3 linked regions of the Xenopus tropicalis genome follow. The protein of the gene in region 2 purifies or fractionates together with the protein of the main gene of each other region. This does not show direct contact. Links are inferred from orthologs where the notes say so. Each region holds a gene or a part of one and is shown on either strand. Other genes may lie near its edges. The genes, in order: erbb4, lrig1 and erbb2.

The links.
Region 1: the proteins of lrig1 (region 2) and erbb4 purify together in Homo sapiens (affinity purification with western blotting; 3 studies listed by BioGRID and IntAct, with this or other methods). This does not show direct contact. The link is inferred for Xenopus tropicalis from reciprocal best matches to the Homo sapiens genes LRIG1 and ERBB4.
Region 3: the proteins of lrig1 (region 2) and erbb2 purify together in Homo sapiens (co-immunoprecipitation; 4 studies listed by BioGRID and IntAct, with this or other methods). This does not show direct contact. The link is inferred for Xenopus tropicalis from reciprocal best matches to the Homo sapiens genes LRIG1 and ERBB2.

Annotation. Positions count from the first base shown.
Region 1 is NC_030685.2:57,168,707-57,172,323, reverse strand, and holds part of erbb4 (receptor tyrosine-protein kinase erbB-4), read left to right. Parts: intron 1-2,053; coding exon 2,054-2,253; intron 2,254-3,617. UniProt on the Homo sapiens protein: Tyrosine-protein kinase that plays an essential role as cell surface receptor for neuregulins and EGF family members and regulates development of the heart, the central nervous system and the mammary gland, gene transcription, cell proliferation, differentiation, migration and apoptosis.
Region 2 is NC_030680.2:143,473,138-143,477,404, reverse strand, and holds the start of lrig1 (leucine-rich repeats and immunoglobulin-like domains protein 1), read right to left. Parts: upstream 2,904-4,267; 5' UTR 2,364-2,903; coding exon 2,185-2,363; intron 1-2,184. UniProt on the Homo sapiens protein: Acts as a feedback negative regulator of signaling by receptor tyrosine kinases, through a mechanism that involves enhancement of receptor ubiquitination and accelerated intracellular degradation.
Region 3 is NC_030686.2:9,878,636-9,883,050, forward strand, and holds the start of erbb2 (receptor tyrosine-protein kinase erbB-2), read right to left. Parts: upstream 2,829-4,415; 5' UTR 2,673-2,828; coding exon 2,600-2,672; intron 1-2,599. UniProt on the Homo sapiens protein: Protein tyrosine kinase that is part of several cell surface receptor complexes, but that apparently needs a coreceptor for ligand binding. Essential component of a neuregulin-receptor complex, although neuregulins do not interact with it alone.

The sequences.
Region 1 (3,617 bases), on a different chromosome or scaffold from region 2:
TTAAGACTATGGTGGCCATTGCTTATTTATTTCAGTTATATACTATACTTTGGCTGTTTTTTAAAGGTATCCTTTTCACTATATAAAAGTAGCAGAACACGGAAAAATGTATGTCTGAAAAGAAACGTCATCATTTCCCAAATAAAGGAATTCCTGAGAGCTCTCCATAGCAGTTTGCAAAATACTGGGTTTAAGGATTACAGGTTTTAGCCGTCAGACAAAAGGCAGCAATTATGGTATCAGAGTTTCCAGTCCCCCGCACAGCAGACAGAAGAAAGCTGGTGCCCACAGAGGTTATGGCATACTGTATACCGGTGCTGGGAATAATTATTTGTCTCTATGAGCTGAGGCTGAGATGGAAGGGCAGGGGGCACATTTAATGATGGCCTCAGCTGAGAAGTTATGAAACGTCCATGGCAGTAAACGAAGCAGCAGATTCAATGATACAATTCTATGCTTGTCAGGAGAAGTGACGGCAAAAGCAGTTTTTGACTTAAAGCGCCCGTAGGGCAGCACTCTCTGAAATAGCAGGCAGCCCCTTTAGTAGTTGATGCTTTTCAGGGTAATGGAAGGATGCAAAGTAATCTAAGCTAAAGGAAGGCTGTAAGCATCAACCCTCTCCATTTAAAAACTGAGGTTGAAGCACTGGATCAAACACTTGCCAGGTATCCACTTATCCTCTTATTAGTTACGGCTGCACCCCACAGCTCTTAGTAACCGAAGTTTGAAAATAAAGAAGCAACAACCAGAGGGTAATTATCCTATGTCTGTGAGCCATGTACATGCCAAAAGGTAATTCAGACATAGGAAATCTAAAAAAGCACCATCTAATCTCAGTATTATCTGTGTAATGTTATGTTAACATTGTGGCTAAAGGGAAGGAAAAGGAAAAACTAGAACAGACTGTAAGTTAATTACTTTATTGCTGTTCAGGGTGCCCTGGAGGACCGCAAGGAAGTGACGGAGACAGGACCATAACAGGGCTAGGGGAGCCAGGAAGGTGTTAAATTGCAAGGGGTTGTGGGAAATGTATTTCAAAAGGTGTTTGTCTGGAGGCTGTAGGAAGAGAGTGAAGGGTATAGAACAGGAGGAGTCAGTCACCATTTACTTTTGCAGCTCCCTTAGCTTATCGGGGGGTAATAATAATAGCAGGGAGAGTGTTGGCGTAAGTGGTGGCAGGAGTGGTTTAAGTCTGAGGCTAGCAATTTTGTGTATCAACCACTGTCAAAAGGGCAGGGTTGGCTGTGGCCTTTTCCACCCATAAATAGTGGTGCCTCTTTAAGTGTTTTAGTTTAAAATGGGTGCTGATTGTGGTGGTGGAAAGGGTCCAAGATGCTGCCCATATCATGTGGAATCTACCTGTAAAACTGGACCCTGTAGAGAGGGAAATTTCCTAGTCTGACGCCTTCAGCATAGATAGAGATCCCTGCAAACATTGATGTTCATCTGAGCCCTTTTGCAGCCTGCTAATCTACTGAGATCCAACTCACTACAGGTTACCAGATGGGCAAGACACAGAGATTCAGGAGTCCCAGGGAGTAGAAGTTGTAGTTGGTATGCAGCCAAAAGTCAGAGCCAGTGGCAAACCTCAGAGTCTGTTCTCAAGCCATTCCCACATACAGGCAAGGCTTAATAACAAGACAGAAGGAGAGTCTGTGCAGTGTTGAAAGGGGCTCTAGCATATTCTGTAGAAAAAGATATGCCGGCTTGGGCAAAGACTAGACTACACACACATGTGTGACTGGTGGTGAGCATATCCTGGCATAAATTAACAGGCATACCAGCAGAGATGCACGTTCTATACACCTGAGAGAGTGCCTTACCACGTGTATAATCTCAACAATGCACTTAGTCTCCTGCCAACTAAACAATGCTAAACAATAATTATATAATATGTAGATGTATATGTGAAAGTGCCTGATTTATTAACATTTGATACTTTTGTCCTGTACAAATTAAAAATGTATTTTTGAGTCCTGCTATTGTTCTTATGGCTTAGAGTCCAGCTCTTAGTATCAGGATGCTCTGCAATTCTGCATTTCTCTTTCCACAGTGGAATTTCCCTGCTGATTCTAAAGCAGCAGAGCCTCAACTCCCTACAGTTTCAGTCACTCAAAGAGATCAGTGCTGGGAATGTATATATCACTGATAACCGTAACCTGTGCTATTACCATACCGTCAACTGGACATCTCTCTTCCGGACATCCAACCAGAGAACCACTATCCGAGAGAACAAGAAGCCAGAAAACTGCAGTAAGTTCCATTATTCATTTGTTTGCTCTTCGGAAGCATTGTTTTGGTTGGTGAAAACTTTTTGTAGAAATATGTTTACGAAAAAACTACTTTTATGTCACTGGTGCAATGTTATTATTAGTCCCTGTTTCCTGGTGACAGGCCCTGTTTCAGTGTCTCTTTTTAGTGTCCCCAGCACAGTCCCCCAATTCAGTGTTAAAGCCACAGTTACATTAATTAATCCATATGTGGACATTGGCTGTACATGTTATCAGTAGCAGTTGCTCTGCCCTAGTCATTTGGTACTTGGCACACTTAACCAGGAAAATAGGGTAGCAATTATATTATTTCAGATGCATTCTTTTTTCTACTTACAAAACACTTAGGGGCTAGAGATGTAGCGAACCTCACAAAAAAAGTTAGCGAACCCGTTCGCGAACTTCTGCCAAAAAGTGCGAACTTTTGCGAACTTTGCGAACCCCATAGACTTCAATGGGAAGGCGAACTTTAAAACCTAGAAAAGCCATTTCTGGCCAGAAAACTGATTTTAAAGTTGTTTAAAGGGTGCCACGACCTGGACAGTGGCATGCAGGAGGGGGATTAAGGGCAAAAATGTCTCTGAAAAATACTTTGTTGACACAGCATTGCATTTTGTGCTGTAAAGGACAGAAATCACACTACATTTCTAAACTTGTGTAATAAACTGCTTTTACAAGGACTATTGGGTTATAGCAGATGATCAGCAGGACAGCTGCCCACAGCAGCTACATACAGAGCAGTAGAAAGTAGATTACTAGTCAGCAAAGCTACCTAAACTGTCCCTCAAACCCCTGCACAGCTCTCTCCCTATGCTAACTCATCAAGCACACACAGGCAGAATGTAAAATGGCTGCTGGGCTTCGGTTTATATATGGAAGGGAGTGGTCCGGGGGTGGTCCAGGAGGGAGAGCTGCCTGATTGGCTGCCATGTATCTGCTGGCTCTGGGGTGAGAGGTCAAAATTTGGCTCCAGCTAAGGCGAACCCAAAATTGCGAACTTCGCTAAAAGTTCGCGAACTTGCGAACTTGCGAACACCCGATTTTCGTGCGAATTAGTTCTCCGGCGAACAGTTCGCTACATCTCTATTAGGGGCAGATTTATCAAAATGTGAGTTTAGAACTTAATACATAGAAAATATAAAATACATATAAACTAACTCTAACTTTCACCCATTGAAAAATATGCTTCTTAAATTCCCATTGGAATGAATAGAATGTGGGTGAGTTTTTCACGTATTAAGCTCTCAACTCACATTTTAATAAATCTGCCCCATACATTACTCTAGTGTGGGCTGGTTCAGCTTTGTAGACAAACCTGAGGTTTCTACAGTTTTACAACATTCTGTA
Region 2 (4,267 bases):
TTTTTTGGATGTTGACCCCCATTTGAAAGTTGGAAAGAGTCAGAAGAGGAAGACAAATCATTTAAAAACTATAATAAAAAATGAAGACCAATTGAAAAGTTGCTAAGAATAGGTCATTCTATAACATACTGAAAGTTAACCTGAAGGTTCAATAACACTGGCCTACCTCCCTATTATGTAAAGGGGCAACAGGACCAGTCTGTGGAGCGACACCATTTATTAATACGAGTGCTACCCTTAGCAACCATGGTCTCCGAGCCTTGAATCTATCTACTGTATCCGCCAGTACAACTGCTTCTAGCAGGGAATTCCACAACTTGCCCAAGACGTTATGTAACATCCCGGAGACTTAACTGGCTTAACCAAATAAGTTTATGAATTCTCTACCATTATCCTAAAAACCTATTTACAATGTTTTTGATTAGAAATAAATCTCCCAGAATTCTGCACTGCAAATTTCCCCCCTCTTAATTTGCAATTTTAAATATATATTTTTTTTTAACAAAATGCAATGTGGATTGTATTAGACGCTATTTAAAAAAAAAAATGAAAAAAAAGTCTATATGAAGGATTACGCTGGCATAAATCCCAACACTCCACACCAGGTGCTGCAATAATATACAAAGTGCAAACCACAAGTCATATACAGTGTTTGCTTTCGCCTATTCTGTTCGGCGGGCGTTAATCACAGAAATGAATTAATCACAAAATACTTTCCCTTGGAACACACACATATTGACGCGGCCGGGCACAGGCTGTATGTCGATCACGGGGCAATTTTAATTATAGGGTTGCCCCCAGCCATTTATATTTTTTATACAGTACCTGTACTTGATCCCAACTAAGATATAATTACCCCTTATTGGGGGCAGAACAGCCCTATTGGGTTTATTTAATGGTTAAATGATTCCCTTTTCTCTGTAATAATAAAACAGTACCTGTACTTGATCCCAACTAAGATATAATTACCCCTTATTGGGGCAGAACAGCCCTATTGGGTTTATTTCATGGTTAAATGATTCCCTTTTCTCTGTAATAATAAAACAGTACCTGTACTTGATCCCAACTAAGATATAATTACCCCTTATTGGGGGCAGAACAGCCCTATTGGGTTTATTTCATGGTTAAATGATTCCCTTTTCTCTGTAATAATAAAACAGTACCTGTACTTGATCCCAACTAAGATATAATTACCCCTTATTGGGGGCAGAACAGCCCTATTGGGTTTATTTAATGGTTAAATGATTCCCTTTTCTCTGTAATAATAAAACAGTACCTGTACTTGATCCCAACTAAGATATAATTACCCCTTATTGGGGGCAGAACAGTCCTATTGGGTTTATTCAATATTTAAAGAATTTTTAGTAGACTTAAGTTATGGAGATCCAAACTACGGAAAGATCTCTTATGCAGAAAACCCCAGGTCCCGAGCATTCTGGATAACAGGTCCTATACCTGTATATTTAATACAGTGTGAAAGTTGGGGGGGGCTGTAATTGCATTGTATTGTACTTCTTGGTTCTTATTTAACCCCCCCCAAGTTCAAGTGCTGTTTCTGCCCTGCCCTAAAACCGGCTCAGCGTGCTGGTGTTATTTATTATTTGACAGCAACCCAATTAAATATTATAATTATACCTGGGCTGTTCTTAATATTTATTCTGTACGTTGTTTGTTTCCTGCTCGACTTTTGAAAAAAAGACCATCTAAAGCAGGGGTTCCCAACCCCCCTAATGCCGCGACCCTTTAATACAGTTCCTCATGTTGTGGTGACCCCCCCAACCATAAAATTATTCCTAAGAGCATCGGAAATATGTGTTTTCCGACGACCCCTGTGAAAGGGTTGTTCGACCCCCAAAGGGGTCCCGACCCCACAGGGGTTACGTTAGTCCCCCAACACTACAGATATGGGGTAGAGAAAAATAAGAGGGGGGTCCCTATGGTTGGCTGCTGTCAGGAATGGGGCAAGGGGGCAACAAGTAACAGTGGCCTTTTGGAAGAGGTGCTAACTGCCAGTTGGGTCACACTGACAGTTGTGCCCATCAAGCAGCTGGTCTGACATGGTTTGCACCCAGAGGAGGTCAAAGTCCTGCTGTACTACAACTCCCACAATCCTCTAGCAACCCTTAGATGGAAAAACCAATTGAAAAGTGATGGTTTAAAGAGGCAGAGTGGGGCACAACTTACAGGTGTACTGTCCAGGCGGGTAGGTCGGAGGGGGGCGCTGTCAGGCCCAGGTTGCTGCAGTCCAGCAGGTCCCCAGTACAGGTGCAGCTGGGGGGGCACAGGGGCTGCTGGGGGAGCCCCATCCCCAAATGGAAGAGAATTCCCAGCAAGAAGGTGCTCCTGCCCGTTATGGGCTGCATGTTGGGGTCCAGCTGTGGGGGGGACAGATCCCAAATCCGGGAGCCGATAGAGGGGGCAGGGATGTAAGGGGGGTGCACAGGTTTTTGGGGTGGGTTCAGGATAATGGGGAGGAGTAGAGAGGAGTTTGTGGGGGGCTGAGGGGTGTTAAGCACCGCAGACCACTGCTCCCCCCATACCCAGGGAGTTGCAACTCTCAGGAGGCATCGGTCATGTGTGAGCGACGATCCCTGGCCAGAGAGTAAAAAATCGCAGGCGGCAGACGCACAGCCACAGTCCCGGGAAACAGAGACAGATCCAGTCCGTCGCAGTCCTACAGAGAAACCCGAGAAGCGTCCGAGCCCCTAATCCGTGCGGGGCGGTCCGGCTGAGGCGGAATACGGAGTCGCAGCACCGATAGATCCACTCCGGGTAAAGCTCAGAGTCCGAGCCGATCCCGGGCAGCGCAGCTCTGGGGCAGGCACAGACACTGGCGGCGTGTAAGCCGGGCTCTCATTGGCGGCCGCACGTCGGCCTCACACCTCCCGCTGTCTCGCCGGCGCTGATTGGCCAGGGGTTCATCTCCCCCCTCCTTCTAAATCCCTAGCACTTTCCTTACAGAGAACTTTTCATTTCAGTTGGAGGAACTGGGAGAGGGAGGAGGTGTCGCTGCAACAGCTGCACTGTCGGGACCCTCACACCTCCCACCCAAATACATTGTCTGAGGCCGGGGGCCCTCTATTATACTGTTATACTGTTATACCCACTGCTAGGGACCCTGCGCTCTTAGCTTTTCATAGTTAACACTTAAGCAGAGCCATTATTAGTATCCAATCATATTCAGTAACTGTGGAGCCTTAGTGCCCTCATGCCTTGGTACACAGTCAGGGCTCCCGCCTTTTTATACTCACTTACTGGGCCCTTCATAATCCCATCCCTAGTACCCATGCCCTTACTCTATCATTTTATCATAAGCACTTCCTGGGGCCCCAGCTCTCATCTAATCATATGCACTTCCTGGGGCCCCTCTCCTTATTATCCAATCATATGCACTGCCTAAAGCTCCTCATTTCTTTTATGTGTATTTCTTGGGCCCTTACATTTCATTATCCAATCCTGTGCACTTCCTGGGGCCCCTCACTCTCCTTATTATCCCATCATATGCACTTCCTGGGCCCCCACACTGACCTTATTATCCAATCATATGCACTTCCTGGGCCCCCACACTGACCTTATTATCCAATCATATGCACTTCCTGGGGCCCCTCACTCTCCTTATTATCTAATCATATGCATTTTCTGGGGCCCCTCACTCGTTATTATCCCATCATACGCACTTCCTGGGGCCCCTCACTCTCCTTATTATCCCATCATATGCACTTCCTGGGGCCCCTCACTCTCCTTATTATCCCATCATACACACTTCCTGGGGCCCCTCACTCTCCTTATTATCCCATCATATGCACTTCCTGGGGCCCCTCACTCTCCTTATTATCCCATCATACACACTTCCTGGGGCCCCTCACTCTCCTTATTATCCCATCATACTCACTTCCTGGGGCCCCTCACTCTCCTTATTATCCAATCATACGCACTTCCTGGGGCCCCTCACTCTCCTTATTATCCCATCATACTCACTTCCTGGGGCCCCTCACTCTCCTTATTATCCCATCATACGCACTTCCTGGGGCCCCTCACTCTCCTTATTATCCCATCATACTCACTTCCTGGGGCCCCTCACTCTCCTTATTATCCCATCATATGCACTTCCTGGGGCCCCTCACTCTCCTTATTATCCCATCATACACACTTCCTGGGCCACCTCACTCTCCTTATTATCCAATCATACGCACTTCCTGGGCCCCCTCACTCTCCTTATTATCCCATCATATGCATTTCCTGGGGCCCCTCTCCTTATTCTCCCATC
Region 3 (4,415 bases), on a different chromosome or scaffold from region 2:
CCTTTTGCCCTCCCTGCCCACAATCTTCTGCACCTGGAAGCCTCTATTTATGCCCACGGCCCTTGGCCCATCCACAAAATGTCGACCCACACATCACTACCCCCCAGTATGGCCCCCTGCCAGAAGATGTGCTGTGCGCTTGCTCTCACCTTCAGGTCTTGGTGGGTACGGGTGGTGACTCCGGCAGGGGGGTGAATTTAGGGGGCCCTACTGGGGGGGCAGGCCCAGATGCAATCACAACTGCTGCTCCCTCAGCAGTTACGCTGGCAGCTGGTAGGTTTGGAGTTTTAACAGCTATGTAGTTGCTAGGGCTTAAATACCCTAGTAACCAGGCAAATGTTAGGAAGCAAAGGTCCCTATACACGTTAAGATTCACCAAGCGAGTGGATCTTCCCCCGATATCCGATAAGCTGTCGAATCGGTCCAAGGGACCCATATCGGCAGCTACAATCGGCCTGTGTATGGGGACGTTTAGACTGGAAGATAATTAGTAGAGTGCCTGAAATCAGATATAAGCAATAAAAAACAACCATAAAAGGAAAACCTTACAATCTGTTTTTTGGTTGCCAGGGTCCGTTACCCCAAAGCAACCATGTAGCATTTTTAGACCAATGTGCAGTAGTGTGCATGCATATACAAAGCGGGGACCAGCTTATACAACATATTGAGGTGTAGAAAAACTTAAGGGGTAATTTATGTATCTCCTGGGCAGAAGTGCAAGAGCACTAAGGGGGGCAAAAGTGTGACCCTTTCTGTGCACCCACACACACAAATAGGGAGTTAGAGGGAATGCTGAGCCCTGACCCAGCTCCTGCTGATCCAATACACCAGAACCCCCTTCCCTTCTCCTAATATACAGGTACCAGCAACCCTTACTTTCTAATAAACCAACATCAGCACCGGTACCTTCAGGCATCAGCACGTGAGCTCTTACTATAGTGTCAGAACACACACCTCTGGGCTCGTAACATACACAATTGCCCTGAGCATCTCCCAACATGTTCATCACAATCCTCGACCTTCAGTAAAAAAATGTCTTCTGGTGCCCAAAAGCATTTGGTGGGTCCAAAAAATTAGTAAACTGTGCTTTTAGATTCTTTGCACTATATTGTGTGTGTTCTGGCTTCCAAATTTGTGTGCACAGCTTAGAGGGGACACTCTTTGGGGGGGCAATAGGTATTCTACCTCAATGGCTTTCAGGCTGGGCCCCTTCCAACACTTGCTCTGAGCCCACAGTTTGGTTGGGGGGGGGGGACACAGTAGTTGGCAGCCGCCATCAAGGTGAATTACTGTGCTTGGGAATGGCACATGGGGTGATTGCAAATGTATTGCTGCCCCTGAGATTTCCAGCAATTGCCCTTCCGTTGCCCGGAATAATAACTGCCCTTGGACCCCACTCGCAGGTCAGACAGTTATCACTTGGAATTGCTCAGTTGGCATTTCTGAGCAATAATTGTCTGATTTTGGGGCAGGTTTCAGAAGACCATCCAGGTCAATGGAGAGGCAATTATGTGTGTTTTGGGGGGAGAGCTTGCAATCACCCCTTGTGCCATTGCCCAGAGATGCAACTGAATGGTACCCTGTATACTATACCCCTTACCAAGCTATCTAGCAGGTTCTTTACCCAGAGTTGCTTTTGGTTATAGCAGGGGTCCCCAAACTTTCTTACTCGGGAGCCACAGTCACATGTAAAAAGACTTGGGGGGCAACACAAGCACCATAAAAGTTTATGGAGGTGCCAAATAAGGGCTGTGATTGGCTATTAGGGGCCTCTATGCACCCTATCAGCTTACAGGGGCTTTATTTGGTAGTAAATCTTGTTTTTATTCAACCAACTTTGGAATTCAAAAATAACTCCCTGGTTTGGGGGCACTGAGAGCAACACCCAAGGGGTTGGGGAGCAACATGTTGCCCCGAGAGATCACTGGGTTATAGTGATATATAATATAGGTTTATTATAGTACAGAAAGCATCACAGGTAGGAAAACACTGTACTTTGCAGAAACAAAAGTCACTGTTTTACCCTACAGAGCAGAGCAAACAGGGGGCACAATGTGCCCACCCATCCGGTAAAGGTACCCATACACGGGCCGATATGGGTCCCTTGGACCGATTTGGCAGCTTATTGGCCCGTGTAGGGGTAGAAACGATGGCCATGCCTGACCGATATCTAGCCAAGCCAAGCGAGCGGATCTTAAAGTGTATGGCCACCTTAACACCAATCTTCTAGAGATAACCCCAATGAAATCCTTCTATGCAGTTGGTCAAGGGCAATTAGCATCTCTGTCGCACTAATCATTTTTCACACTGGGCCATTAAGGCTATAGAGCACCTTTATTTAATTCTAGTCTCATTAATATTGCTGAGGTTCCAATGGCTGCGTATACAGGAATGCTTTACCTGCGTCCCCTACTGTTGCACCCGAATACTTGCGTCAGTTGTAGCGCAACCAAAGCTGGAGTGACTCAGATTGGACTGAAATCGCAGCCGATGAACTCCCTACTATATAAAGGTCACCCCCGATTCCCTCCAAACTCTTCCCCGGACGCGCTGTAAGTACATGGGCAGAACCTTACGCTGCGACCCGCACCCTCCTTACCTTCCTCGGCGGCGCGTCCCCTCAGTAGGAGCAGCAGGGCGCAGAGCCCCCAGAGCCATGGCCGTAACCCCATAGTGTCAGTGCCCCCGCAGTGCCATGCCAGCCCCCCTGCTGCCAGCCGGCCCCCCTGCCTGATTCTCTGCTCCGGGAAAGAAGTTCTCAGTTGCCTGTGTAGCTGCCCCGCTTCATTCCTACACAGGCACTTCCTGCAGGGAGGGGGCACAGGGGAGGGAGAGGCGGAGGGCTGGACACAGACACTTATAGGAGTGGCACTCACTTCTACTCCCTGCTCTCTCTGCTTAACTCACCCCTGTGGGGCTCAAACGTCTCTAGATGGTAAGCTCTTGGGCTCACAGCTGCTAAATCTACCCTCCCCCCCACTTCCCTAGAATATAGTCATACCCCCTAGGCTGTAGGCTCCTAGCATTCCTGGCAAGTAGTGACTGGCAGCTCTGGATAAGCAATAGATGCCCACCTACACAATTCCTTATTCACACTCACCTACATACCTTGGTCTTTTTTTTTATTGAAACCCATGTATGTATTAGGGTGAAGACACACTGAGCTACTAGTAGCAGCTACTTTTTCACAGCTACTAAACCCCAGAAAATCCCCTGCCATAGACAATACTGAGAATTGCCTCTGCTAAACACACATAGAGACAACTATCAGTAAATGATCAGCATTGTCTATTTTAGTAGCCACGACAAGTAGCTGCTACTAGTATCTCTGTGTGTCTTCACCCTTATAAATAACCTAGTGCAAAAAAGTGCATGGTGCACAAGTGCAAATGTGCAATGAAAAGGAAGAGCCCAAAACCTGACCAACCGGCCAGAATTTTCAGGTTCTTGCCTTTTGTCCAAGGACTAGAGAGAACCCCTTTATCTCTGACCCCCCAAGCTAGAAGGCCGGCAGGGGCGAGGGTCTTCAGGTTCCCTTCACAGCAGGGCTAGGGTTACCCCTTTATCCTCACCCTCCATCCAGAAAGCCTATAAGGCAGTGCTGGGCCCATTCATACCTGCTTGTCAGCGCCACCCCCTCTAGCCTAGGGCAGCAAACATGGTGGAGAATAGATCCCCAGGAGCTACAAATTAGGGGTCCCCTTTCCATTGCACCCTAGGCACATGCCTGTTCTGCCTACCCCTAGTTGAGGCCCTGCTATAAGAGCTCCATTGACCCCCAAGAGAATCTTCAGTCTTGTATGTTTATGGTGGGGCCAGGTTTTAAGGGAAAGGAGCCGAATGGCCACACATTATCCCCCTCAAGCCAGCGTGCAGATCCATAAGTGTATATTGCGCTAGATTGTAAAAAATGGATAGATCCAGATCGTAGGTTGCACTAGATCATAGAAGAAAAAACACAAAAATAAAAGCTCAGTAACAAAACAAATGTCTCAATATTGGCCGGATTTTAAAAAATTTCCTTGCCATTGGCCAAAAGGCTGGGGCATAAAAGTGAAAGCAAGTAAAGTGCACTATGTGCAGGGGAAATGTTGCTCACCCTGAGGTGGGCTTTTCCATGCTGCCCCCTTGCTTCCCGTGCTTTGGTGCAGGTGGGGGGGTTGCATTACTAGTGCAGTGGTCACAATAGCACTGTCTGTATTAGAAGAGCTGAAATTCCAACTGAAAAATCAGAATTTTGGCTCTTTAAGTGTTTTTTTTCCACCCCCGGTAACTTGTTGGGTGCCGCTGCCTGAGGAGAGTTTCTCCCTTTATGGCAGTGGCACCCCTGGCTACGTGGCCGTTACAGTGTCCCTCCCCACTGTGGGTTGGGGCATCCTAGGGTTTTCAAGCCTGGGGCACAAACATGCTTGGGC